Anolis sagrei: one gene and its partner. The protein of the gene in region 2 purifies or fractionates together with the protein of the main gene of each other region. This does not show direct contact. Links are inferred from orthologs where the notes say so. Each region holds a gene or a part of one and is shown on either strand. Other genes may lie near its edges.

The links.
Region 1: the proteins of EHMT2 (region 2) and MIER1 purify together in Homo sapiens (co-immunoprecipitation; 3 studies listed by BioGRID and IntAct, with this or other methods). This does not show direct contact. The link is inferred for Anolis sagrei from reciprocal best matches to the Homo sapiens genes EHMT2 and MIER1.

What each region holds. Positions count from the first base shown.
Region 1 is NC_090024.1:165,097,293-165,112,847, forward strand, and holds the start of MIER1 (mesoderm induction early response protein 1), read right to left. Parts: upstream 7,354-15,555; 5' UTR 7,133-7,353; coding exon 7,124-7,132; intron 1-7,123. UniProt on the Homo sapiens protein: Transcriptional repressor regulating the expression of a number of genes including SP1 target genes. Probably functions through recruitment of HDAC1 a histone deacetylase involved in chromatin silencing.
Region 2 is NC_090022.1:18,395,373-18,409,929, forward strand, and holds the start of EHMT2 (histone-lysine N-methyltransferase EHMT2), read left to right. Parts: upstream 1-7,818; 5' UTR 7,819-7,870; coding exon 7,871-7,891; intron 7,892-11,892; coding exon 11,893-11,959; intron 11,960-12,079; coding exon 12,080-12,319; intron 12,320-13,976; coding exon 13,977-14,281; intron 14,282-14,557. UniProt on the Homo sapiens protein: Histone methyltransferase that specifically mono- and dimethylates 'Lys-9' of histone H3 (H3K9me1 and H3K9me2, respectively) in euchromatin.

The DNA of each region.
Region 1 (15,555 bases), on a different chromosome or scaffold from region 2:
CCAGCACAGGCTGTAACCCTATACCCTGTTCGGCCTTGCGACTGACCAGGAGTACCTCTGTCTTGTCTGGATTCAATTTCAATTTGTTCACCCTCATCCAGACCGTTACAGCGGCCAGGCACCGGTTCAGGACCTCGACCGCCTCCTTAGTAGCAGGTGGGAAGGAGTGACAGTTGGACATCATCTGCGTACAGATGACACTGCACCCCGAAACTCCGGATGATCTCACCCAGCGGCTTCATGTAGATATTAAACAGCATGGGGGACAGTATAGAGCCCTGTGGAACCCCACAAGTCAAAGGATGTGGCGTTGAACAGGTGTCCCCCAATAACACCTTCTGGGTGCGACCCTCCAGAAATGACCGGAGCCACTGTAGAACAGTGCCCCCGAGACCCATTTCCGCAAGGCGCCCCAGAAGGATACCGTGGTCGACGGTATCGAAGGCCGCTGAGAGGTCCAGAAGCACCAACAGGGACACACTCCCCCTGTCTAGCTCCCGGCGCAGATCATCCACTAAGGCGACCAAGACCGTCTCAGTTCCATGCCCCGGTCTGAAACCAGACTGTGCCGAATCCAGATAATCCGTGTCTCTCAAGAATACCTGGAGTTGTGAGGCCACTACGCTTTCCAGGACTTTGCCCAAAAAGGGGAGATTGGAAACTGGCCAAAAGTTGTCAAATCTAGTGGGGTCCAGTGATGGTTTTTTCAACAGCAGTTTGATAATAGCTTGTTTTAAGCTTGCTGGAATCTCGCCTTCCCGAAGGGAGGCGTTAACCACCACCTTAACCCACTCAGCCAATCCCCCTCTGGCCTCCTTCAGAAGCCAGGATGGGCAGGGGTCTAGGATGGACGTAGTAGGCCTCATTCCTCCAAGTATCTTGTCCACATCCTCGGGCTTCACCAATTGAAAAGAATCCATCAAAATAGGACAAGCAGGTGCTCGTGTCACATCCTCAGAGACTGCATTTAATATGGTGTCCAGACCGGAACGGATCAAAGCGACTTTGTCTGCGAAGAACCGAGCAAATGCTTCGCAGCGCGTGGCCGAATTGTCAGGGCTCCCGCCTAGAGTGGAGGGAGTTAAAAGACCTCTGACAATCCGGAACAACTCCGCCGGACGGTTCCTTGCAGACGCAATAGTGGCCGCAAAGAAAGTTTTCTTTGCGGCTTTTATTGCCGCGGCATATGCCCTTAAAAAGGACACAAACCGTGTTCGATTTGACTCGCTCGGATCTGAACGCCACACGCTCTCTAGTTCCCTCTTCCTTCGCTTCATCACTGCCAACTCCTCAGTAAACCAAGGAGCTGGTTTAGCTCGGCTACTTGAGAGGGGATGTTCCGGAGCGATCGTGTCAATTGCCCTGGACATCTCTCCTTTCCAGAGAGCAACCAAGGCATCAACAGGGTCACCTACCGAGGTGGCGGGAAACTCCCCAAGAGCCGTCAGGAATCCATCCGGATCCATAAGCCTCCTGGGGCGGACCAACTTAATGGGTCCTCCACCTTTGCAGAGGTTGGGGGGCGCAGTGAGCCTAAATCTGATCAGGAAATGGTCGGTCCATGGCAACGGAGAGATGGTCAACTCCTCAACACCGCCACCTTGCTCCCATCCCTGGCAGAAAATCAAGTTTGTTCCTCTGTACATTATTTCTAAGAGTATCAGAAACAGTACGTCCCTCTGTACTAGATTATTTCTAATTGTTCAATGACATGATGGCAACTTATGGTTGTTAAGAATTTAAAATTTGTCATTGCCAAAGGTTTGTGTCAAAAACACACCCAGAATCCCCTAAAACATTGGTTCCCAACCTTTAGTCCTCCAGTTGATTTGGAGTTCAACTTCAAGAAATCCTGAAGTGCAAAACACATGGAGGGCCAAAGGTTGGGAACGACTGCCCTAAAACCACACACTTTGTAGCCATTTACACTGACCATTTAATGCAGTTTCAACCCAATATTGAAGAAAGTGGTTTCATTGAGCAGATGATTACACAGGAAATCCTGGAAACATCCAGATGTTGATTACACAAACACAGATCACTTATTTACATTAAAGGATTTCTTTTGTATGCTTTTGAGGGGGTTTGTTGTCTGGTCACAATGGTTTGAAGCCAACTTCAAACTGCATTAAATCGTCAGTGTAGATAAGAATACAGTGTCCACACACACATTCATTCCATGAATTTTAGTATTTTGCCTCTTTTTAACGAAAGAAAGGAGTGTATTCGCTTCAAAGAACTCAATATAAGAAAACAATAAATACTGAAACCTCTTGGGCTTTTATTATATCTCAAAGTAGATACTGACCCGCCCCTGTAAAGAAAAACACGTTTGGTGGGGATGAGAGACAGGGCCTTCTCAGTGGTGGCCCCTCGGCTATGAAATGCCCTTCCTGGGGACATTAGATCAGCCCACTCCCTCTTAACATTTTGGGAAAAAGTCAAGACTTGGTTATTTGAACAAGTGTTTGAAAATGTAAGATAGATGACATAGGAATTGGAATGACTGGACGAAGGGATTGGACAATGTTTTTATTAGGAGACATAATTTATGTATATTTTTAATACTATTGTTATGGTTTTATATTATGTTTTCATGCTTTCAAATGTTTTATAGCGTATTGGGCATTGAATCGTTGCCTCTGTAAACCGCCCTGAGTTGCCTGAGGGCTGAGAAGGGCAGTATACAAATAAATAAAAATACTGTCAAATTGCAATTCTAAACATATGTGTCAATTAAATAAATACTCAAAAGCACAACTCTGAAAAATTATTTCAGTCTTAAAGACGAAGTTTTTTTAAGGATCTTATCAATACTACATCTGGAATTGAACTTAGAGAACAGGGTTTTCTAATTACCTATAAACCAGGCCTAACCCTCTCAACAGACAGCATAAACATGGTGGCTAGCATGTCACTTAAAGTAGGGATAAATTCTGCATTTGTGGAAAACCCTAGGTTGTACCAAGTTAATCACAACTGCAGTCATGACTACAAGCACCAAGACTAGGATTTGCTACTTACCCATCTTGTGTCATGTCATATTTTATGCAGAGGCAAAATTAACCAAAAAAAAAACAAACAAAAATCCAGTGACAAGTGTTTATGAAAATAAAATTCTGTCAGTGAGAAGTATGCCAGATGTACTGGCATTTTCAGAAGAACCACAAAATGTTCAGAAATGCATTAAACTTGAAAATTAATAAAATAGCAAAAAAATAATAATGACCAGGCACACTCAACAGTTACAGTCTGTGCAAGAAATAATGCTGATAGAAGAATTAGTAAATAGTATCTTTGTTTTTTAAAAAAGAAGAGGGATTTCAGGGTGGTATGGCTTAAAATATAAAAACAAGATAAAATTTAAACAAATCAAAGCATACTATAAAACATTATGATGTTCAGAATGGCTGGTTGGAATCCTTGAACCAATGATACACTTTTTAGGAAGCTGCAGATACACTGGAACATTTCGATACAGATTCCAATACTAATCTCTGGAGGTATCAAGTTACTAATGATTGCATATACCTAAGAAATTTCTCAAACAATAAAATGATGATTTCCAAAGTGTATTTACAGATGGCTGAAATAACAAATACACAAACTAGTGGATAATGATCCACTAAATACAGTGGAATTTACTTTTGAATCACCAATAGTAGGATTTGGTTGCACATGTTTTCTTGCCTGACAAATTAAAAGCCTCTTGGAAGTATTTTGCAATTCTATATCTATCAAATCTAAACCACACCAATCTATAAGTGTTGTGGACAAGGTGTACCATTGATCACTAGTGTCTTAAAGCATGCTTCATGATCCTAACAGCAGCAAAAAGTTCTGTTTTAAATGTGACAGACTTCCATGATGTCTCTTGACCTTTTGAAATTTGTGTTCTCTACCATAAGAATGATATCAATTCAACCTTAAGGTATAATAGATGCAGCTATTACCATGAATCTAAATTATTTTCTACATTATACTGCAACTCTTCATGTTGATTCAACAATACCAATAAATTCAGTAACAGTATATCAAACGGTAAGAATTAACAACTTCTCTTAACAGTTTTGTAAATTCATATCAGGTAGACTGGAGAATGTCACTGAAACCAACACCTATATGGCCATATTCCAAACAACTAATGAGAAAGACTTCAAGGGGTTTTTTAATAACCACATTCCATCCTCTGGCTCGATAAATACAACATGCAAAGCAAACGTGTAGACTTCGTATCTTAGATCTTTGAATCACCAAAAATAAAAGTAAAAAATTAGGTTCCACTCCTTATTAAAGGAGCTAAAATGAATGGTTTCACTAGGCCTAGAAAATGTACAAAGTTGTTTATTATTGCCTCTTCCATTGTGGCATCCTGATACTATAATGTCTAGTTGTTTTGGTGTGTTGAGTTTTCTTGCCCATGTTGTTTTGATCTAAGGATCATTTCAAAACTAATTTAAAATAAAGATTAAGAGTAAAACACCTTTTACTCTCAGTATCTATTTTTAATAATTATTTTGCTGCTAATTGTATTTATTTTATTGCTTTGTTTACTATGCTTTTAGAACTTCTATATAATCCACTGTGAAGTGCAGAATTCCATACATATCACAAATGCATAAATAAACATGGTGAAAATTCTATCATTAAAAAAAATGCTTCTGATAACCACCTTGGAAAAAATGAAATATATAGGATAAAGCAGGTGTTCAACTCTTTCCTTTGTCACATATTTAAAGTATGGATAGCATAGGGACTCCATGCAGAGTCCAACTGAGTTGTAAACACATGAAATTTTCTCCTTCAAAGAAGTCACTGAGATGAGGGAATCTATTAATCACAGCACTAAAGTTTCAGAAATGACTCAACATAGAACATTCATGTAACTTTTAAAATGTCCAAAATAAAGACACCATGTACATAGCATTACTGCTTGGAGAAACACCAGAATTAAACTTAGGTGAGTAACTATTTACAATCTTACCCTATATACTTATGTATAGGTCTAAAAAAATAGTCAAAAAAACTAACTCAGAAAAACTGGGCTGACTTACCCATGAGTCAATGTGAGTACTATATCTTAGCTCTTGTATATAAAAAGAGACCATTCTTTCTCTGAGTACAGTGGTGAAAGGTAAGAGCTTAGACTATTCCAGGAAAACTTAAAAGAAGCACCAGCCGTCTCTACTCTCTCTGTCTTGGCATCACTTCTAGTCTTTTTGAATGCCTGGGTGGGGAAATGGCAGTGATGGACTTGAGGAGACGGCACTTCCCCTCTCTGTGAAATGACTCTTCGATTATCCACAGGTCATAGCAAAATCCATAATTCTGAACCCTAAACCTGAACCTGACTTATACATGAAGTCAACTTATAAATAAGTATATAAGGTAGTTTGAAGACTTTGCCTTCAGCAGTAAAGAACACCCAACTTTCGTGTTCCAAATTTCTACATTATACTACTATCCATTTTGAGTGATTGAAACATATACTTCTGTGGTTGTGAGATATATGTTGGGTATGGCTCTGGACAACTCGCATTTCCTTTGACTTATATATTATGTAGGGTTTTGTTTTTTTTGCTAAATTCAAAAGCGGTCTTCAGTCACTATCTTTATATTTTTATGTATCTTTCACCACCTGGATCTTGAGTTATTGGACAGCCTTTAAGATTCAATTTTGCTCAGTGAGGACCCTTCCACACAGTCATATAATCCCACAACATCTGCTTTGAACTGGGTTATCTGAGGGCTGTTCTCACCATATGTCAACCCATAGCCACTTGTATCACAAGTTTATTATATTGGAGTCGATTTTTACCCCGCATGAGTACACCAAGGCAAGACCCAAAGCGACTTAACACAGGTATGGACAAATTTCAGCCCTCCAGGTGTTTTGGACTTCAACTCCCACAATTTCAAACAGTTGGTAGGCTCTTAGGAATTGTGGGAGTTGAAGTCCAAAACACCTGGAGGGCCGAAACTTATCCATACCTGTGTTAAGTCGCTTTGGGTCTTGCCTTGGTGTACTCATGCGGGGTAAAAATCGACTCCAATATAATAAACTTGTGATACAAATGGCTATGGGTTGACATATGGTGAGGGTTTTTTTTTTGTTTTTTGTCGTGTCAGGAGTGACTTGAGATACTGCAAGTCGCTTCTGGTGTGAGAGAATTGGCTGTCTGCATGGACGTTGCCCAGGGGACGCCCGGATGATTTGATTTTTTATCATCCTTGTGAGAGGATTCTCTCATGTCCCCGCATGAGGAGCTGGAGTTGATAGAGGGAGCTCATCCGCCTCCCCGGATTCGAACCTGCGACCTGTCGGTCTTCAGTCCTGCCGGCACAGGGGTTTAACCCACTGCGCCACCGGGGGCTCCATGGTGAGGGGTGCATAGTCAAGACTGGGCAAAAAAATTTTACTATTTTTTTTAAAAAAAATGAATCAGCTTGAAAGAACAGAGGAAAAAAGAGGTTCAGCATAAAGAGTCCCCTAAATCAAAGGATAATAATATTACCTAGATTGGGCATGAGCAAACTTGGGCCCTCCAGATGTTTTTAGACTTCAACTCCCACCATTCCTAACAGCCTCAGGCCACTTCCTTAAGTGGCTGAGAGGGAAAAGGATGGGGCCTGAGGCTGTTAGGAATGGTAGGAGGAGTGGAAGTCCAAAACACCTGAAGGGCCCAAGTTTGCTCATGCCTGTCGTAAGTTCAACAATAGCCAAAAAAGCGAGGTAGGGGCAACTTGGGTGACAATTTGATCATCCCAGGCAGCAAGATACCAGCCTTTTCCCTCGCTATTCCATCCAAAAATGTCCTTTCCCCTTTACCTTCCCTGTGTCCCAAGGCAGAGCTCCCCCCTTCCTCCCCCTCCTTCCCCTCCAAGTTCCAGTGGGGCCCTGAGAAGGCTGCGAGTTCGAGTCGTGCCCCGCTTGCCACCCAGGCCGGCCTTGGGACCTTCAGCCGAACTAACTTGCACAGAGAGGCTGCCGCGCAACAAGTTCCCGGCCGGGCCCCGACTCCCCTCTCTCTCCTCTTCCTCCTCCTCCTCCGGCCTCCTCCTCCCTCTCCCCCTCCCTCCCTCCTTCCTTCCTTCTAGACGCCCGCGGGTCTCCCTCACTCACCTCCGCCATATTCGCCGCGCAGCTGGGGCGGGCCGAGCCGGGAGTGGGGTAATCACATCGCCGCCGCGGCGGAGGAGGAGGAGGAAGTGGCACGGGAAGGGAGCGAGAGCGGCGGGTCACAGCGGTCTCTGGGAGGCGGCGAGCTCTGCTAGGGAAGGAGGGAGGGAGAGAGGGAGGGAGGGAAGGCGCCACCAGGGGGAGGAAGAGGCCCGGCGACGTCACCACGCAAAGGAGGTGGGCGCGCCCGCGACGGCAGCGGCGGCGACGACGACGCCTCTCCCGCGCGCTCCTCCTCCTCCTCTCTCCTCCCCCTCCCTTTTTCGACCAGTCACGAGACCATTTGTTTGATTGGGGTTTTATTTTTTTTTAACCTCCGCGCGCGCGCTGCGTTCGAGAAACGACACCCTCCTCCCTTTTCCCCCTCCCATTCTTCCAACTGTAATTACGCTCGCTCCCCCCTCCCCCCTCCTTTTTGAGGGCAAGAATAGAGCAAGGCTCGTGCCCCCCTCGTTAGGTGTCACGCAGGCCTGCCTTTGCATAATAATAATAATAATAATAACAGCGCGCAAGATTGCAGATGTTTCCCATGTCTTTGGGGCCCCTTCCAGTCTCTATAAATAAAAATGTCATGTTAGTTCGTGCTACCATCAAAACTCAAAAACCACTGGGGGAATTGACACCAAATTTGGACACAAGACACCTAACAGTCCAATTTATGTCCTCCACTCAAAAAAAATGATTTTGTCATTTGGGAATTGTCGTTGCTGGGATTTATAGTTTACCTACAATCAAAGAGCATTTTGAACTCTACCAAGGATGGAATTGGGCCACACAGGGCTCCCATGACCAACAGAAAAAACTGGAAGGGTTTGGTGGACATTGACCTTGAGTTTGGGAATTATAGTTCACCCACATCCAGAGAGCACTGTGGACTCAAAAAATGATGGATCTGGAACAAACTTGGCACGAATATTCCATATGCCCAAATATGAACACAGATGGAGTTTGGAGGAAATAGACCTTGACATCTGGGATTTGTACTTACTGGGATTTATAGTTCACCTACAATCAAAGAGCATTCTGAACTCCACCAATGATGGAATTCAACCAAACATGCCATACAGGACTTCCATGACCAACAGAACACATTGGAAGGGTTTGGTGGGCATTGACCTTGAGTTTGGGAGTTGTAGTTCACCTACATCCAGAGAGCACTGTGGACTCAAACGATGGATCTGGACCAAACTTGACACAAAAATTCCATATCCCTAAATATGAACACAGATGGAGTTTGGAGGAAATAGACCTTAACATTTGGGATTTGTAGTTACTGGGATTTATAGTTCACTACAATTAAAGAGCATTCTGAAACCCACAAACGACAGAAATGGGGCAAACTTCCCACACAGAACCCCCATGACCAACAGAAAATACTTAAGGCCATCCAGTCCAACTCTCTTCACCAGGGCAAGAAAACGTAATCAGAGCCCTCCTGACAAAGAGCCATCCAGTCATAAATATAGATAGATAGATATGATTCTCTCACACACAGAGAGATATAGGATCATAGATTTGAAAGAGACCCTTAAAGAAGGACTATGATAGGTTGCATATTCCAGAGGTGGCAAACCAGACACTCTCCACATCAACACTGACAAAGAAACAACAAGAAATACTGTTTACTCACAAGCATAAAGGAATTACATATATTAGAAACCAACACTTTCTCATTACTTTATTTTCCAGATCACCAGACTGGGCCACAGCAACGCGTGGCAGGGGACAGCTAGTAACTGAATAAAATCCCACATTATCTGATTTGAACTGGGATATATCTCACTGTGGACTCAGTAACCCAGGGCCCTTCCACACAGCCATCTATATATATAAATTTGTTAGGGGCATCCAACAAGGAAACAAAACTCAAAAAACCCCCAACGAAACTTAACCAAAATTCCCATGCCCATAACACAACCCACAAGGTACAAACATATCTACTCAAAATGAAAAACAACACAACAACACACTCACAAAACGGCAAAACAACAAAACTCAAAAATCCCCCAACGAAACTTAACCAAAATCCCCGTGCCCATAACACAACCCACAAGGTACAAACATACCTACTCAAAATGAAAAACAACACAACAACACACTCACAAAACGGCAAAACAACAAAACTCAAAAATCCCCCAACGAAACTTAACCAAAATCCCCGTGCCCATAACACAACCCACAAGGTACAAACATATCTACTCAAAATGAAAAACAACACAACACACTCACAAAACGGCAAAACAACAAAACTCAAAAATCCCCCAACGAAACTTAACCAAAATTCCCGTGCCCATAACACAACCCACAAGGTACAAACATATCTACTCAAAATGAAAAACAACACAACACACTCACAAAACGGCAAAACAACTGAGCATGCGCATTGGCGCCCAGCCGCAAGTTCCATCGCGCGCACACATGGCCTTCCGGCCAACGTTCCCTCTGCGGAAACCATGCCCACTCCAAGCCCCGCCGCGCCGCTTCCTGCACACACACACCCCCTGCCGCACGCACACACGCAACCCCACGCTCCATCACTCCCCCCGCTGCCGCACACACACACGCAACCCCACGCTCCATCACTCCCCCCACCGCCGCACACACATGCAACCCCACTCCCCCCGCCGCCGCACACACACAGGGAGGGAAAGAAGGAGAGAAAGAGGGAAGATTGGCCACAGCAACACGTGGCGGGTAAAGGTTGTTATTTCTATTATTATTATTATGATGCTATTGTTCCTATGAGACCCTTTTAGGGGGAATGGGAGAGGTGTCAGGTCCCAGAGGCAATGCATTGCATTATTGTTATTGTTATGATGGTGGTGAAATAAAAGGAAATCAAAAGTGAAAGAAGGAAGCAAACAGGGAGGGAAGAAAGGCAAAGGAAGAAAGGGGGAGGGAATGAAGGAAAGAGAGAAGGATGAAACCAAGTAGTGAAAGAAGGAAAGAAAGAAAGAGGGAGAGAAGGAAGAAAGTAGAGAAAGGGGGAGGAAAAGGGGGAAGGAATAGGTAGGTACCTCTCTTTCATAATAGTCCAGATATCTACCTCAACTTTGATAAGTTTTACTATAGGCCACAGCAACGCGTGGCAGGGCACAGCTAGTATAACCTATTATATCAGGGCAGAAAATCCCACAATATCTGCTTTGAACTGGCTTATCTGAGTCCACTCTGTCATATACCCCAATTTTGTTCAGAGGTGTGGAAGGGACCCCAATTCAAAGCAGATCATCTGGATTTTATACGCAATGTAGGACCTTTCCATATAGCTCTATATCCCAGAATGTCAAGGCAGAAAATCTCACAATATCTGCTTTGAACTAGGTTATCTGAGTCCACACTGTCATATACCCCAGCTCAAAGCAGATAATGTGGGATTTTGTTCAGAGGTGTGGAAGGGGCCCCAGTTCAATGCATATCATCTGGATATTATATGCAATGAAGGACCTTTCCACACAGCTCTATATCCCAGAATATCAAGGCAGAAAATCAAGCAAAAAGTGGGTACTAGAAACGAAAGCTGACTGGCACAACCTGGGGATCACAACCAGACACAGTGAAGGCATCTGCCCTTGCGCTATGCTACTCTGTTGCTGAGTATGCTTGCCCAGTGTGGAACACATCTCACCATGCTAAAACAGTGGATGTGGCTCTTAATGAGACATGCTGCATCATCACAGGTGTCTGCGCCCTACACCAATGGAGAAAATACACTGTCTAGCCGGTATTGCACCACCTGACATCCGCCGGGAAGTAGCAGCCAATACCTCCTTGCGGCAATACCAGAGGCACTCCAAGTGGCCAGCTACTGGTCAAAAGACATTTAATCAACTACCAAGCTCGCAAACTTTGTGTTTTGTCAGTTTGTTTGTTTGTTTTATTAAAAATGTAATACAAATGTCTGGTTGCTCCTGACACAATAAATAAAAATAAAATAAAAGGCAAAAAATCCCACAATATCTACTTTGAACTGGGTTATCCGAGTCCACATGTGCTGTCGCACACTGGGCCTGTGCATAAAATTGTAGAAAGGACTTAAATTCTGTGTGCCCAACGGGATGCCGGGGCTGCCTCAGGTTAAAGGCCCTTGGATTTCCTTAAATCAGAGTCTTTAGATTGCTTAAAGGTTCAACAAAGTTCTTTATTAATGAAAACAAACAGGTACTTTAAGGTTTACTTAACAGTCTATTGGCTCTCTCTCAATCTTGTCCACAGGGAACAGGCACTATCTTCATAAACTGTATTTCCATAGTCTTGTCCACAGGGAACAGGCACTATCTTCATAAACTGTATTTCCATGAGTCGCCAATTTAGGCTGAAAAATGTGGTATAAAAATAAAACAAATAAATAAATAAATAAATATTTAAGCTAATAGGGAAATTCTTAACTTCTAATCTGGGCAGTCTGTCTTTGCCTCTGTTGGCGTGGAGCCCCTGCACCCGGTACCAACTGCGTCTGGCTTCCGCGAGCGACCCTTACCAAGCAGAGCTTTGTAGACTTCCAGGGAAAAAGGAGTTCAGGTTTCAGTGATGGCTGACTGAAGTCCCTCAGCGAAGGAGCTGTAAGGCTGTATATCTTCCGGCCAAGCTGTGGGGCTGTATCTCCCTGGCTAAGCCGTAGAAGATGAAGCTTTCTACAGGAGCTCTTGGTATTATGTCCTGTGCGAAAGGCTTCTCTGTGTGGACTGAACCAAAAAGGCTCCTATTCCCTCCAAAAACCCAAAAAGGGGCGGGACCAGGGAACCTAACTATAATTGACAGGTGGCTTGCCCTATGATTGCAGCCAAAAGAAGCCACCTATCTGCAGAGTCCCTGAAACTTAGGACTGCAACAAACATTCAATGCAAAGCAAACAAAATGGGAGCTCCTGGTACAGCTGTACCTGCACACTCCTGGCCTAGATTTCTCAATGATGAGAAATGTACACTATAACAATGACAAATCTAATTGGGCAATAAACAATTACCAATTCAATAACAACACAACATCGCAAATTGAACTGGGATATCTGAGTCCACACTGTCATATACCCCAGTTCAAAGCAGATAATCTGGATTTTATATGCAATGTAGGGTTCTTCCACATAGCTCTATATCCCAGAATGTCAAGGCAGAAAATCCCACATTATGGGTTATCTGAGCTCACACTCAGATAATATGGAATTTTCTGCTTTGATATTCTGGGATATAGAGCTGTGTGGAAGGGCCCATAGACACTTCATTTCTCCTCATCCTCCATCCACCGAAACCCTTTGACATATCATTCTCCCACAACCATTGTTATTATTATTATTATTATTATTATTATTATTATTATTATTCAATAAATAATACATTTAGGGGTTTTATGTGATTAAAACATAAAAGTACACGCACTTCTCATGCTTGCTAAGCATAAGGAAAGGTTTGAAGTCTGAAAAATATCCTGAGGGTGAAGGGGAAAAGCCTTTCTCAATTGCTGGATCAACTTTTCTGTTTCTCTTTTTGAAATTATTATTATTAATTATTTCACACAATCTAATATGTAATCAGAAAACATACATTCAGAAATAATCAAATGTGTATCCAAATGGCAACTTGTGCAAAATAAGTATAACATACTTTACCATTCACTTGAATTTAAGACATTTTCAAAGCAAAATCCATGCAAACTATTCCTAACTAGAGTTATTGGTTACTATGTTTTAGGAAAAACAGTTTCCATCTGGATAATAGCAATAGTGCCACCATCTACCTCTCTCTCCCCCCAACCACTGCCCCCATATCATATGCAAAAATGTATTTTTTTAAAAAAAATAAACTCCTTGCAAGGTTTCATATCTTCATGATCTTGAACTTTTCTGTTTCTCAAACCACCGTGACCCCCGCCTCAGTCACCTAGTAACGAGAGCTTCAAATATCTGGGAATTATCTAAAAGGGGAGAAAGTGTATTAGCATTTGTTTTCCCGCCTGTTTTTTTGGATGGCTTCCTGTCCCTTAGAGCTGTTATTTGAGAAGAAATGAACACACACACACACACACAAATACGTGAAGCATTTCACGTCTGGTTCACTTTGCAAATGTGAGAGAAATACAGGAAGTCAGACTAAAGTTGGCAAAAAAAAAATATCAGTTGCTGCCTATTTCTTGTTTTTTTTGGGTTTTTTTTTTGTTTCCTCATCACGTCTCATCTTTTGAAATAAAAGAGATTTTAGGCAGCCAACAAACACGTATAGATCGCTCCCCATATATTGCCTGTAACCAGTATTCAAAGGGATTTTGAGCACTTTAGAGACTAAATAACTTGGAGGTTAAGTATGGGTGCATCTATGCTGTAGAATTAACATAATTTGACACCATTTCAACTGCTATGCCCCAATGTTATGGAATCACTAGAGTTATACATGGTGCAGCAGCATAATTTCCTTTTTTCAAAACTTAATAAAACTTAATAAAACACATTGTATGAATCAGAATTTTTTAATAATGTAGGCACATACCTAAAGTTTTGTTTTACATAGTTTTGAAGATCAATCTTGTATGGTTTTTTTTGAAATTCTATGTTTTTGTGAACCGTCCAAGGACACTACAAGATTTGAAGACCAACATCCAGGAAGAAATTGCCAACATAACGCTTGCTATGCTGGCAAGAGTCATGACAAACGCCAGAAATCGGTTTACTCAGTGTATCGAGAATGGGGGACGTCATCTACCTAATTTGATCTTCAAAACTACGTAAAACAAAACTTTGGTATGTGCCTACATTATAAAAAAAATATGATTCATACAATGGGTTTTATTAAATTTTGGGAAAAGGAAGTTATGCTGCCGCACCCTGTAGTTCTACAAGAGGCATGGGTAAACTTTGGCTCTCCATGTGTTTTGGATTTCAACTCTCACAATTCCTAATAGCTGGTAGGCGGTTAGAAATTATGGGAATTGAAGTCCAAAACATCTGGAGAGCCCAAGTTTGCCTATGCCTGTTCAGCCTTCTCTGCCCCAGAGTGCCGGTGCTGCAACAAACGTCAACTCCCAGGATCCCATAGCACTGAGCATTGGCATCAAAGTGATGTCAAACCACATTAATTCTATCAAGTAGAGGTTGCACCCCCAGTCTCTAAAGTGCTAGGAAAGATACTTTTGCGTACCTATATTCCAGACTAACACAGCAACATCTTTGAGTTGTAGAACCAGAAGGATTGAGCTTTGATTTAAAAATATGTGCAGGTACTATGTTTAGAATTGCGTTTGGGCAGCATTTAGACTGTGGATTGAATTGGAGACAGAGGCCAGTCCTTTGCAAAACAAAATATGTTTTGTTATGTAAAGACACATTTGTGTTTTTGTTATGTTTTAATGGTCATTACATAACAAAATAATTATTGTCCTGGCCAAAAGACATTGCTGCATAACAAATTACCAAGTAAATACGTAGAAGGTAGATGCGGAATTAGTTTCACAACCCGTCTCTTTTTGATCCAGCTGTTTTGTGAAAGCAAATTCATTCATATTTTTTTTGCTCTCATTTGGCTAAAATCTCTTCAAACCCAGCTGAAATCAAGGCATGAATTTGCAATCCTCTGCTTCCACTAAGCAAGTTAAAATACAGGTAATTGCGAAGTTATATTTCAGGTGTCTAATTTTTTTCTGATGCCTGATGGGATAATATGGAAAAGAAGATTTCCTTTAATGATCTGGCTAAAACCAGCCACATTTTTTTTTTGAAAAATGCAGAAAGTAATAAAATGGTGTGTGATGTCATTGTGGAAGATCTGTTTTGTTGTGTCCTTTCAAATTATTTTTGGCTTCTGATGATCCTAAGGAGAATCTATCACAGGTTTCTTGGCAAGATTTGTTCAGAGGGTGTTGCCTTTGCTTTCCTCTGACTTTGGAAGAGTACTAGAAACAAATAGTTATGTATGTTCTCTTCTACAGTAGCAAAGGAAACCATGGACAAAGGCTGCATCTAATAAGACATCGGTGTTTGTATGCTGGGACCAGTCCAGTGCTAATATAAATTAACTTAAAATGTTTGATGATCTATTTTAGATGTATTTTAACTTTATTGTCTGTTTTATCCAAGTGATATGCAGTGATATGCAGGAAAAGGAAGCAAACAGTGGCTGTGAGGCTGTACCCTGTGTTCTCTTTGGTATACTTCAGGAACAACTATAGCAGCCAATTTTCATTTACTTTAATTGTTTTTATAATTTGAGATGTTTTAATGTTGAGTATGTGATTAGGGTAACCAGTTTTCATGTGATTATTTGTATCCTGTTTTACATTTTGATGTCAATGTTTATACAATAAGCTCACTGTCATTATTTTTATTATATTGCATTGTAATTGTTTTTTGCATTTGTCTGAGCATTGAATGTTTGCCTTTTTTGTTTTGT
Region 2 (14,557 bases):
TCTGTGGGGAAAGCACCACATTGTCTTGGACCTGCCCTTGGCTGCCACTATTTTCCCACCCAAGGATCCAAAAAAGGCTGGAAGAGGTGCCACAACACACAATAGAAGGTCTGTACTTATTTTAGGTTCTTGTGAGATGGACTGACCTTTTCGTCATTCCACTAAAATAAGATGTTTCCTTTTCGATACAAGCTAGGGCACAATACTTAAGTGGACCCATGGCTAGATCAACCTAGTAGGGGATTAATTTCTACAATTTCTAGACTTATACATGAGTATACACAATGTCCCACCTGAAGTCAGTGGGTCCAATTCCCAAGTAAATGGTATAGGATCATGATCTGTGGGTTATTAGGGGAGACGCACACGACTTAATAAATACCTCCCCCTCTGCTTAAAGGGGCATAAATGTGACCTCGTTCTATCTCAGCAGCCAAAGAAACTGAAAAAAGTCACTGAAACAATATGGTGTCAGTAGGGAGGGTGAATTGATCTCAGCATAAGGCATTGCGGAGGTTGTCTCAGATCAGTCGCTTTTGATTTTGGTCAAAATGTAAATTGATCTAAGTCAGCATAAGGTGCAGAGATCAATTGCTTTTGACTTCAGTCAGAATCCAGTTGATGTCCCCCAGGTTGGCTAAAGGCACCAACAAGATTCTGACAATGTGTTGTCAAAGGCTTTCATGGCCAGTATCACTGGGTTGCTCTGTGTTTTCCGGGCTGCATGGCCATGTTCCAGAAGCAGTTTTTCCTGGCATTTCACCCACATCTAGGGCTGGCATCCTCAGAGGTTATGAGGTGTCATGGAAACTAGGCAAGTGAGGTTTATATATCTGTGGAATGTCCAGGGTGGGAGAAAAAACTCTTGTCTGCTTGAGGTAGAAAGTTGCAATTGGCCAGCTTGATTAGCATTGAATGGCCTTGCAGCTTCAAAGCCTGGCTGCATCCTGCCTGGAGGATCCTTTGTTGGGAGGTGTTAGCTGGCCCTGATTGTTTCTTTTCTGGGATTCCATTGTCTTCTGAGTGTTGTTCTTTATTTACTGTCCTGATTTTGTTTTTAAATACTGGTAGCCAGATTTTGTTCATTTTCATAGTTTCCTCATTTTTGTTGAAATTGTCCACATGCTTGTAGATTTCAATGGCATCTCAGTGTAGTCTGACATGGTAGTTGTTAGTTGTGCGTTCTCAGGGTCCACAATCAACCTGTCAGATTACACAGAGAAGCCATTGAAATCCACAAGCATGTGGACAATTTCAACAGAAAAGAGGAAACCATGAAAATCTGACTACCAGTATTAAAAAACTCTAAAATCAGGACAGTAAATAAAGAGAAACTCTTAAAAAACGGGAATTATATGAAACAATCAGGGCCAACTAACACCTCCCAACAAAGGATTCCCCCAGGCAGAAAGCAGCCAGGCTTTGAACCTAAAGGCCATTCAATGCTAATCAAGCTGGCTGGCTGCAACATTCACACTTGTCTCGAGCAGACAAGAGTTCTTTCTCCCACCCTGGATATTATTCCACAGATATATAAGCCTCACTTGCCTTGTTTCCAACAGACCTCACAACCTCTGAGGATGCCTGCCATAGATGTGGGCAAAACGTCAGGAGATAATGCTTCTGGAACATAGTTATACAGCCCAGAAAATTCACCACAACCCAAAGATTCTGAAACTTTGTCTACTATTCGCCAGTAAAAGTGCAAAGACTAGCAACACCCTACCAAGAAGTCTGTCTGCTTTGAAGACACTGGGTGACTAGCATAACGAAAGGGAAGTTGGCAACAACCTAAGTTTATTGTGTGAATTCTTCCAGAGCTCTAGACTTTTCCAAAAGCTTTGGGCAAACAAGAGTCTCTACTATGTAGTTTGACTTCAGAAGTCTGCTAATCTTGGAGAAAACAGTGCCCAGTTTGTCCAAACACCAAGAAACCAGCTGTGCAAGAGAAAACCAGAGGAGTGTGAGGAGTAGCTGTTAAGGAGAGGAAGGTTTAGTGTATTCTGGTTATCTATGACAACAATGTGTGATTGCGCATGTTTGTCCAAAACTATTTTTGAGAACAACTTAAGGATTTCAGTCAAGTTTCTAGTCCTCATGGCTGTGAGTATGTGCTTGAAACCTGCTGTGTGGTATCAGAAAAAAACTTTTGGAGTGTGATAATTTTTGTAAGTTATAGCACAGAGATTTAGAAACATGGGACACTCGTTTCAGGCTCAAGGGAGTCGACTGCTTTTTGTTTGTTTTTAAAGCAGTGCCTCAAACTCCACCAAACAGAGCCTGATGTAAAACTGTGAATGTAAGAAGGACTCTGCTGTTTTAGACCAAAGAACTATATAATCCAGAATCTTATGTATTTGGGAACAGCGCACGAGGGCAGTAGAACTATAGCTGGGAACAGCTACTTTTTTTGGACTACAGTTCCTTAAGTCGCTGGAGATTTTTGCAAATGCTCGTCCAAAAACAGTATTGTTTCCAAGTCTAAACAAAACGCTCCTGCTCTTCTTCAAGGCAAATGTCTGTCTTACTGGATGAGATCAATAACCACTGAAGTCTTACCCTCCATTGATTTCATTAGTCCCTCTTTTGAAGTTACTGGTCATTTCTTGCAAGCACAAAATCCCAAAAGTCACGTGCATTTTTTTTTTTGTGTCAGGAGTGACTTGAGAAACTGCAAGTCGCTTCTGATGTGAGAGAATTGATGGTCTGCTGGGACGTTGCCCAGTGGACGCTCAGATGTTTTACCATCCCGTGGGAGGCTTCTCTCATGTCCCTGCATGAGAAGCTACAGCTGACAGATGGGAGCTCACCCCACTCTCCTGATTCAAACCACTGACCTTTCAGTCAGCAGTCCTGCTAGTAAGGTTTAACCAATTGTGCTACCAGGGGCTCCGAAGTATATTTCTTTTTATCTGTCCTGAATCTCCATTCATCTTAAATGGATGACCCAGTTTCTAGTATTTTGCTGTTGTTGTGTGTCTTCATGTTGACATTGACCTTATCTCAGAGGGATTTTGTGGCAAGGTTTCTTTTTGCCTTCCTCTGAGCCTGGGAGAGAGTGATTTAATAACCCAAAATACCAAACTGGGTTGTGTAACCTGGACAGATGAGGAAAATCAAACCAAATGTACAATCTCTGTGCTATATATTTCCTCTGCAAATAAAAATGAAAGCAAAGTGTCATGTCAAGCATGTTACCTATGGCATTGGAAAGCCTGATTGTACTGGATAAACTCCATTTCCTACCTCTGCAAAGCAAGCATTAGCCACACATTTTCAAGTATTGATCATCACAGCCTTCAGAACTAGAAACTTGACTTATTTGTTTGCTTTTAAACAGGATTTAAATTCTCTGGATCACTGAATGCTGGACCCAGTCTCAAAATGCCTACTTACACAGAATCCTTGCAGCCATGAATTGGTCCCAGAGCTGACAAAAATGGGATATGGATTTTTTTCTCCTTGTGATGATATTGACTCTGATCTCCTGGACCCTAACTAGCTTTTTTGTTTTTCATTTTTTCTAAAAAAATAAATAAAAACCAATAAAAGCTGCTGTAATTTTGTTGCTTTGTTTAGACCGTGGGTGAAACATCAGTGAGGAATGGGACAAGTATTCCTGGCAGTTTGTGTATGGAAATGGCCTTCAACATTACTTTACTTACTTAGGGGATCCCTCGTAGTCCAAATATAATGGTCCTCCAAATGTAGTGTCTTGCTGATGGGTCGTAGGTGGCTGTGGAGACCTTTTCTTGATCCGCATCTTCTTCCACAGTGAGGACATTGATTTCCAGGTGGAAGGTGGTCCCAGTCAGGGTTGGCTTGACGTGCCTTCCTCTTGGCACATTTCTCCCTTTCGCCCTCAATTCGAGACTCTTCGAATTCTGCAGCACTGCTGGTCACAGCTGACCTTGAGTGTTCAAGGGCCAGGGCTTCCCAGTTCTTCGTGTCTATGCTACCGTATTTAAGGTTGGCTTTAAGACCATCTTTAAATCTCTTTTCCTATCCACCAACATTAAGTTTCCTGTTCTTGAGTTCAGAGTATTGTAACTGCTTTTGGAGATGGTGATTGGGCGTTCAGACAACGTGGCCAGTTCAACGAAGTTGATGGTGTAGAAGCATTGTTTCAATGCTGGTGGTCTTTGCTTCTTCCAGCACACTGACATTTGTCCATCTGTCTTCCCAAGAGATTTGCAGGATTTTTCGGAGGCAATGCTAATGGAATTGTTCCAAGAGTTGAGTGTGATGTCTGTAGACAGTCCACGTTTCGCAGGTATATAGCAGGGTTGGGAGGACAATCTATATATATAAAAATGCTCTGTGCGTAATGAGTACCTTAAAAACAAAAGAACCAATGAACGAAATAACACCAAATTTGGCAACAAAACATCTCACAACACAAGGAGTGACCATCACTCAAAAATTATGATTTTGTCATTTGGGAGTTGTAGTTGCTGGGATTTATAGTCCACCTATAACCAAAGAGCATTCTGAACTCCATCAACGATTGAATTGAACCAAATTTGGCACACAGGACTCCCCTGGCCAACAGAAAACACTAGAAGGGTTTGCTGGGCATTGACCTTGAGTTTTGGAATTGTAGTTCACCTACATCCAGAGAGCACTGTGGACTCAAACAATGATGAATCTGGACCAAATTTGGCACGAATATTCAATATAAACACAGATGGAGTTTGGGGAAAATAGACCTTGACATTTGGGAGTTGTAGTTACTGGGATTTATAGTTCACCTACAATCAAAGAGCATTCTGAATACCACCAATGACAGAATTGGGACAAACTTCCCACACAGAACCCCCATGGCCAACAGCGTTTTCTGGTGGTCACAAAAAGGGAGGAGAAAGAGGAGGCCATCCTTCCTATGGAGGGAATTAAACCTGGAGGTTTGATGCGCCCAATAAAGAGCCCCCTGAACACCTGTGTCTAAACATGTTGGACAGAGACACGTGTTTCCCAAGGAAGGGGCCTTGTCTGGGGGGGAGGGGGAATAAGGAAAGGGATCCCCAATGAGTCTCACTTTACTTTGGATGTCCAGTCAAGCAGCGAAGCTTGCTTTTTCCCTCTCTCCTTGAAAATGGTCCTTCCTACCCACTGGTTCTGCATCCACAACTTGCTGATAGGAAGACAAAAGCTGCTGAGCTTGTTGACTGAAAGGTCACAGGTTCAAATCCGGGGAGTGGCTTGAGCTTCCGTTGTCAGCCCCAGCTTCTGCCAACCTAGCAGTTTGAAAACATGCAAATGTGAGTAGATCAATAGGTACCGCTCCGGCGGGAAGGTAACAGCACTCCATGTAGTCATGCCGGCACATGACCTTGGAGGTGTCTATGGACAACGCTGGCTCTTTGGCTTAGAAATGGAGATGAGCACCAACCCCCAGAGTCAGACACGACTGGACTTCAAGTCTGGGGAAAACCTTTACCTTTACCTGTGTATATAATGGGGAAAAGATTAATAAATGTTTCCTGGGGACAGGAGCTGTTTGATAGTGAAATATGCTGCTGCCTTGGGGTGTAGAGGAGTCTCCTTCCCTGAAGGGTTTTAAGCAGATGCTGGGTGGTCATCTGTCAGGAGTGCTTTGATTGTGTATTCCTGCATGGCAGAATGGGGTTGGGCTGGTTGGATCTTGGGGTCTCTTTCAATTCTAGGATTCTTTGATTCTAAGAGAGTTCTGTCATCTACACTGTAGAACGAATGCAGTTTAATACTACTTTAACTATGTTATGGAATCACGGGATTCATAGTTTGGTGAGGGCTGGAACTAGTTAACAGAAGAAGGCGAAAGACCTTGGAAACCTACAACTCCTAGGATCCCACAGTAATTCAAGTGGCGACAGAGTGACTCCTGAAATGCAGAGAAGACTAAAGATCTCATGAAACTACAACTCCCATGGTTCCATAGCATTGGGCCATGCATAGCAGATCCAGTGAGGTCAAACGGAACAACTTCTTTAACTATGCTATGGAATAATGGGATTTATAGTTTGGTGAGGCTCCAGAACTAGTAGACAGAAGAAAGCAAAAGACCTTGGAAAAGTACAACTCCTAGGGATCCCATAGCAATTCAAGAGGTGACAGAGTGAATCCTGAGATGCAGATAAGACTAAACACTTTGTGAAACTAAAACTCCCAGTGTCCCATAGCATTGGCAGATCCAGTGGGATCAAACGGCACGGCTTCTTTAACTATGCTATGGAATCATGGGATTTATAGTTTGGTGAGGGTCCAGAACTAGTTGACAGAAGAAGGCTAAAGACCTTCGAAAACTACAGCTCCTAGGATCCCATAGCAATTCAAGTGGCAACAGAGTGAATCATGAGATGCAGAGAAGACCTTGTGAAACTACAACTCTCAGGGTCCCATAGCATTGGCAGATCCAGTGGGGTCAAACGGAACAACTTCTTTAACTATGCTACGGAATCATGGAATTTATAGTTTGGTGAGTCTCCAGAACTAGTTGACAGAAGGCTAAAGACCTTCGAAAACTACAATTCCTAGGATCCCACAGTAATTCAAGTGGCAACAGAGTGAATCATGACATGCAGAGAAGACTAAAAACCTTATGAAACTACAACTCTCAGGGTCCCATAGCATTGGCAGATCCAGTGGGGTCAAACGGTACTATGCTATGGAGTCGCGGGATTTATAGTTTGGTGAGTGCTAGAATTAGTTGACAGAAGAAAGCAAAAGACCTTGGAAAACTACAACTCCTAGGATCCCATAGCAATTCAAGTGGCAACAGAGTAAATCCTGAGATGCAGAGAAGACTAAAGACCTTGTGAAACTACAACTCCTAGTGTCCCATAGCATTAGCAGATCCAGTGGGGTCAAACGGCACGGCTTCTTTAACTTTGCTGTGGAATCATGGAATTTATAGTTTGGTGAGGCTCCAGAACTAGTTGACAGAAGGCTAAAGACCTTCGAAAACTACAACTCCTAGGATCCCATAGCAATTCAAGTGGCAACAGAGTGAATCATGAGATGTAGAGAAGACTAAAGACCTTGTGAAACTACAACTCCCAGTGTCCCATAGCATTGGCAGATCCAGTGGGGTCAAACGGCACGGCTTCTTTAACTATGCTATGGAATCACGGGATTTATAGTTTGGTGAGTGCTAGAATTAGTTGACAGAAGAAAGCAAAAGACCTTGGAAAACTACAACTCCTAGGGAACCCATAGCAATTCAAGTGGCGACAGAGTGAATCCTGAGATGCAGAGAAGACTAAAGACCTTGTGAAACTACAACTCCCAGTTTCTCATAGCATTAGCAGATCCAGTGGGGTCAAACGGTAGTATGCTATGGAGTCGCGGGATTTATAGTTTGGTGAGTGCTAGAATTAGTTGACAGAAGAAAGCAAAAGACCTTGTGAAACTACAACTCTCAGGGTCCCATAGCATTGGCAGAGCCAGTGGGGTCAAACGGCACGGCTTCTTTATGCTATGGAATCGCGGGATTTATAGTTTGGTGAGGGCTAGAATTAGTTGACAGAAGAAAGCAAAAGATCTTGGAAAACTACAACTCCTAGGGATCCCATAGCAATTCAGGTGGCGACAGAGTGAATCCTGAGATGCAGAGAAGAGTAAAGACCTTGTGAAACTACAACCCCCAGGGTCCCATAGCACTGGGCCATGCATGGCATGACTGTATAGAATGCACCCTGAGCCAGCCTTGGCCTCCTCCCCTTTTGTTGTCCTTGCTCTTTGTCTGAGCGCCAGGGAATCAAGCTGTGCTGCCCCTTTAAGAGATTTCCTCCTCCTCCTCTTTCCCTCCTCCTCCCCTTGCCTCGCTCGTGACGTCAGTGCGGGGCCGGGTCTGTTGCTGCTGCTGCTGCTGCTGCTTGGGCGCGAGGCCATGGAGGCTGCAAGCGCGGAGGTTTGGGGCTTCCGTGGCTAATGGCGGGAGATCGGTGGGGCGATGCAGAGAGAGGGGAAGGGGAAATAATCCCGAGGGTGGAAAGAGGAAGGGGCCCCGGTTTCCTCCCGTACTCATTGCATGTGGCCTTTGATTTTTGGGGAGCCACATGGGAGGGGCTTGGGTTTGCAAAGGAAATGCAAAAGAAATGTTTTGTGTGGGATGGAGGGGAAGGAGCTGTGCATGGGAGAAGCGGTAGTGTCTTGGAAATTTGGAAGTGCAGTCAAGGAAGGAAGATTCCCCACTGTTCCCAGATTGCATTGAGAGAATCATAGAGTTGGAAGAAGGACCCCAAGGGCTCTCCAGTCCAACCCCATTCTGCAATATAGAGCCAATAACTTTGGGACCTTGTCAGAAAAATCTCACAAATACTCCTTTTTTTCCTATTTTATGGACTTACAGATTCATAGTTGGGAGAGACCCCAAGGACAATCCAGTCTCACCCCATTCTTCCAGGCAGAAAGACACTATCAAAGTCCTCCTAGAATAATAGAATCAAAGAGTTGGAAGAGACCTCATGGGCCATCCAGTCCAACCCCCTGCCAAGAAGCAGAATATTGCATTCAAATCACCCCTGACAGATGGCCATCCAACCTCTGTTTAAAAGCTTCCAAAGAAGGAACCTCCACCACACTCCAGGGCAGAGAGTTCCACTGCTGAACGGCTCTCACAGTCAGGAAGTTCTTCCTCATGTTCAGACAGAATCTCCTCTCTTGTAGTTTGAAGCCGTTGTTCCGCATCCTAGTCTCCAAGGAAGCAGAAAACAAGCTTGCTCCCTCCTCCCTGTGGCTTCCTCTCACATATTTATACATGGCTATCATATCCCCTCTCAGCCTTCTCTTCTTCAGGCTAAACATGCCCAGCTCCTTAAGCCGCTCCTCATAGGGCTTGTTCTCCAGACCCTTGATCATTTTAGTCGCCCTCCTCTGGACACATTCCAGCTTGTCAATATCTCTCTTCAATTGTGGTGCCCAGAATTGGACACAATATTCCAGATGTGGTCTAACCAAAGCAGAATAGAGGGGTAGCATTACTTCCTGACAGATGACCACCCAGCCCCAGGTGAAGAACCACCAAAGAAGGAGACCCCACTAAGGGCCCTTCCACACAGCCCTATATCCCATAATATCAAGGCAGGAAATCTGCTTTGAGCTGGGTTATCTGAGTCTACACTGCCATATATTCCAGTTCAGAGCATAAAATGTGGGATTCTGTGTTATATGGCTGTGTGGAAGGGCCCTAAGCTCCAAGGCAGGATATTTCACTGCCCAACAACTCTTACCATCAGGAAGTTCTTTCTAATGTTTGGGTGCAATCTTTTTTCCCTGTAGTTTGAATCCATTGGTGCATTGTGTCCTAGTTTCCAGAGCAGCAGAAAACAAGTTTTCTCAATGGGACATTGTTTCAAGCATTTAAACAGGGATATCATGCCAATACTTCTTTTGATTTTCAATCTGGACAGTAAATGATGTTAAGATCACAAGTATCCTCCAGAAGGATGTACACAAACATTCATGTAGAGTTTCTAAGCATTTCCTGATAGAACAGTGTTTCTCAACCTAAAGGTCAGGACCTGGGGGGGGGGGGGGGGGAGTCGCGAGGGGGTGCCAGAGGGGTCTCCAAAGACCATCAGAAAACACAGTATTTTCTGGGTTGTTGTAGGTTTTTCAGGCTATATGGCCTTATTCTAGAAGCATTCTCTCCAGACATATCGTCTGCATCTATGACAGACATCCTCAGAGGTTGTGAGGACACAGTCCAGCCCGAAATAAATAAACAAGCGAAATAAATAAAGAAATCTGTGGATATGGAAGACCGACTATACTTGTATACCCGAATGGACCCTAGACCTTAATTTTAGATATTCAGTTGAGAGGAAAGGGCAAACATATAACACATAAACAATAAGATGTGAGATTCCCAATTGTTTTCAATAACTGCAAACCCAATTTCAATCTACATCAGGCATGGCCAAACTCTGGCCCTCCAGGTGTTTTGGACTTCAACTCCCACAATTCCTAGCAGCCTACCGGAGTTGGCCCATGCCTGGTGTAAATGCACCCCTTTTCTTCTTGAGTCTGCATAAGAGAAGTGGGCGGGGCTTACACCTTTGGCAATAGGCCACACCTCTTCTAGATGGGAGCTCCTTGATTAGAACTGGGTTGCACTTGGCTAGTTCTTGCCTCCAAATGGGTCGGAATTACTCCAAATGGGTCAGTTTATAGGAAAAACAGAGCAGGAAGAAGCAGGGGGGGAAAGATGCCCAAGAGGCAAGAAGATTATTTATTATTATTACCATTATTTTTGTTATTAGTATCAGTCTTATTGTGAAGTATGTCAGAAGAGGGTTGTCTGAAAGCTCTGGAGGGTTGAACTTGCTTTCAATTGTTTAAATAGCCAAGATTCAGATGTGGTTTGCCCATAGAAAGGTGTTTCCTGAATTTGGATTAAGGTTCTCTTAGGTATTGGCAGTTGTATGCTGTTGTCTATTTACTGTATTTTCAACCTTTGATACCTCTGGGCAGCACAATTGAAGGGAGATGTTGACAAGCTGGAATGTGTCCAGAGGAGGGCGACTCAAATGATCAAGGGGCTGGAGAACAAGCCCTAAGAGGAGCGGCTTAAAGAGCTGGGCATGTTTAGCCTGCAGAAGAGAAGGCTGAGAGGAGACATGATGAGGGCCATGTATAAATATGAGGGGAAGTCATAGGGAGGAGGGAGCAATCTTGTTTTCTGCTCCCCTGGAGACTAGGACATTGGACAATGGCTTCAAACTATAAGAAAGGAGATTCCACCTGAACATTAGGAAGAACTTCCTGACTGTAAGAGCTGTTCAGCAGTGGAACTCTCTGCCCCGGAGTGTGGTGGAGGCTCCTTCTTTGGAGGCTTTTAAGCAGAGGCTGGATGGCTATCTGTTGAGGGTGCTTTGAATGCGTTTTTCTGCTTCTTGGCAAGGGGTTGGACTGGATGGCCCACGATGTCTCTTCCAACTCAATGATTCTATGATTCAGGTGGGATACATTTTTCCCAATTTTATCTTTGCGTGCAGTGCAGCTGTGGGAATGGAGACAAAATCAAGGCATTTGTTGCTTTTAGATGCTTTCAAGTCAATCCTAACCTGGGATTTTCTGGAGATAAGAGTATGTGACTTACCCAGGCAAAAACCCCTAGCTATTTAAATATTTAAATAATATTATCATAATTATTACAGAGCCCAACATAATAATAATAATAATAATAATAATAATAATAATAATAATAATAATTTATTTATAACCCACCCTCTCTCCCCGATGGTGAGAGGGTGGGGTATAGATGTGTGTATATATACACATACGCACACATCTATGCACCTATACATACATATATATATCTATATATACACACACACACACATGCAAACACAAATATATATACATATACACAAATATATATACACACAAAACATACACCAACTGGGCCACAGCAGCGCGTGGCAGGGGGCAGGGAACATACAGACACACATATATATACACATGAGCACACACAAATATACATACATAAACACATGCACACATACACATATATACATTATGCATGCACACACACATACATATATACAAATACATTCATATATACTCACATATATGCATATACACAGGCAAGCATATATACACATATAAACACAGAAATACGCAAATATATATACACACATATATGCACACACATCTATACACCTATATGTATATATACACACATACATACATACACACATGCAAACGTACACATATACACAAATACTCAAATATATATACAAACAAAACATATACACAAACTGGGCCACAGCAATGCGTGGCAGGGGACAGCTAGTAACACATAAAAATAGAGGTAAAATTACATCAAAATATTAAACAACAACAATAATAAATGCACCCACAGTCTTGCTGAGTTCTATGTATCCACTTCTTTGCTCCTTTTCTCAGGGCGAAGCTCTCCGAGGGATATCAGGAGGTGTGTCGTCCCTGGTAGAAGCGGGATCAGACGAAGCAGGTAATTTTTTTGGAAGTTTGGGGTGGAGAATGGGGCAGGTGCCCTTCTCTTCTGTCATCAGGCCCAGGTTTGAAACGTACACATAGTATCGTGAGCATATCGGTGTCTCTCTTTTTCTAGATGCCGCCCCCTCCAGAGATGGACCCAATCCTTCCTCGGAATCCTTGTCCCCTCGGAAGTTCAAAAACGCTTTGGGAGGAGCGTCCGAGAGCTCGCTGGCTTCTGGCAGAAACAGCGACGATGGAGCACGAACGCAGGTGACCGGGAATAATAAAGAAGCAGGAAGCTTATCGCCCGAAGCCGGAGGGATTTCGGCTGGATCCACTACGAGCCCAAGCCCAGGGAGCAAAGGCTTGCCAGGTGAGAAGGAAAGAAGGCATATTGTGAAATTGCATCCACGTGGCTCCAATGCTGTGGGTTTAGTCTATTTTTCTGCTGTTATACCTTCTGTTTGTACTTTATAATATCTTTTGTTCCTAATGGCTTAATTTGAAGTCATGCTACCCCTCTCTTTTGCCTTGGTCAGACCACATCTGGAATACTGTGTCCAATTCTGGGCACCACAAATGAAGGAAGATGTTGACAAGCTAGAATGTGTCCAGAGGAGGGCAACTAAAATGATCAAGGGTCTAGAGAACAAGCCCTATGAGGAGCGGCTTAAAGAGCTGGGCATGTTTAGCCTGAAGAAGAGAAGGCTGAGAGGAGATATGATGAGCGCCATGTATAAATATATGAGGGGAAGTCATTCATTTGTAATGAATGTTTTGTCAATAAAAGTACATTTAGGCACAAGTCCCCATTTTCCCCCTTTGTAACTTCTAAATACAGTCCAGCTTTGATCTTTTGATAGTAATAGTTCTTTATTTGTGAGGTCCACATTGATTACACGATGTAACAAAATTTGAAAAATTATCGTGTTCCTGGTTTGAAAGTGTTATTTCCTGTTTAATTGTGCAGTACTAGCTTCAGCTAGTCCAGCGCGCGGCAGCCATGTTACTAACAGGAGCAGGACGCAGGGAGCATACAATGCCCTTGTTGTTCCAGCTCCACTGGCTGCCGATCTGCTACCGGGCCCAATTTAAGGTGCTGGTGCTATCCTACAAAGCCCTAAACGGTTCCGGCCCAAAATACCTTTCGGACCGCATCTCGGCCTATGAGCCCACGAGGACCTTGAGATCGTCTGGGGAGGCCCTTCTCTCGATCCCGCCTGCCTCACAGGCACGCCTGGCGGGGACGAGGGATAGGGCCTTCTCAGTGGTGGCCCCCCGGCTGTGGAACACCCTCCCCGTTGACATCAGACAGGCGCCCTCCCTTATGTCCTTCCGGAAGAGCCTGAAGACATGGCTATTCGAGAAGGCATTTAACTAAATGCTACAGTAACTGGAAATGACAACTGGAACGGAATATAGACTACGAGACTGGTTATGATTCTATGATAAGACGAAGCGGATTATTTTAGTGTGATTAGATGATAGTGTACTAGTGATATGTTGTTTTTGTCGTGTAGTTTATTGTAAAATATGTTTTTTATATGTTGTACACCACCGCGAGTCGCCCTAGGGCTGAGAGCGGCGGTTAACAAATGCAGCAAATAAATAAAATAAATAAATAAATTACTTTGAAAGTAGTTGTTCTACTCCATAAACTTCATTTTTGTGGCTTCTACAAACTATGTTGAAATGGTTAAGACCCTATGAGATAGTCAATGAATAACTATAGCAAAATGTGCTGCATGATGTCCCACGAAAACAATGTTTTTGCAGTTTAATAAACTTTTTCCATGTTTTCATGCTAGAACCAATTTGGAAATGACATTTATAACCCACGGACAAGAATCTTACTACATAGTTTTATCGGTTTTGGACTTCAACTTCCAGAAACTTCAGTGATGATGGATTCTGGAAGTCGAAGTCCAAAACATCGGGAAGGACTAAAAGTTGAGAACCCCTCATCTGTGTAAAGATTGAAGACTAGAAATGTAGTTGAGGATTCTTTGTTCAATTGCTTTTGGTTTCAGGCCACGCGGCCAAGACTTTCCCCTCATCTCCCAGCAAAACGGGTGGTCCGAGCCGGGCAAAGATGTCACTCACCGGAACCAGCAAATCCCCGACGTCCATCCAGAGTTTGGCCATGCGCCTGCTGAGTATGCCTGGGTCGCGGCTTCCTGGAGATCCTGGGATGCCCACAACAGAGACTCCGGCCTCAACCTTGGGCCCAGCCTCAAACTCATCCCCGACTCAGTCCCCATCCCCGGCAGCTGAAGAGGTCAAGCCCAAGGTCCATCGGGCACGGAAAACAATGGCAAAGGCCAGCACAGTGCAGGTAAATCTGCTCACGTATTTTATCACTTGCAGAGGGACAACACATGTGTCTATGGCTTGGTCGCTTTCAGTTGCGTACCTGAAATATTTCCAAACTTTCAAAAGTTCCAGACAGACAGACTTTTCCCTAAGAAGCAGGGCAAGCAAATTCAGAATTTTAGAGCTAGAAGAGACAGACCCCAAGGGCCATCCAATCCAGTCCCTTTCTGCCATGGAAGAACACTTAGTCAAAGCACTCTGGACAGATGACCGTCCAGCCTTTGATTAAAAACCATCT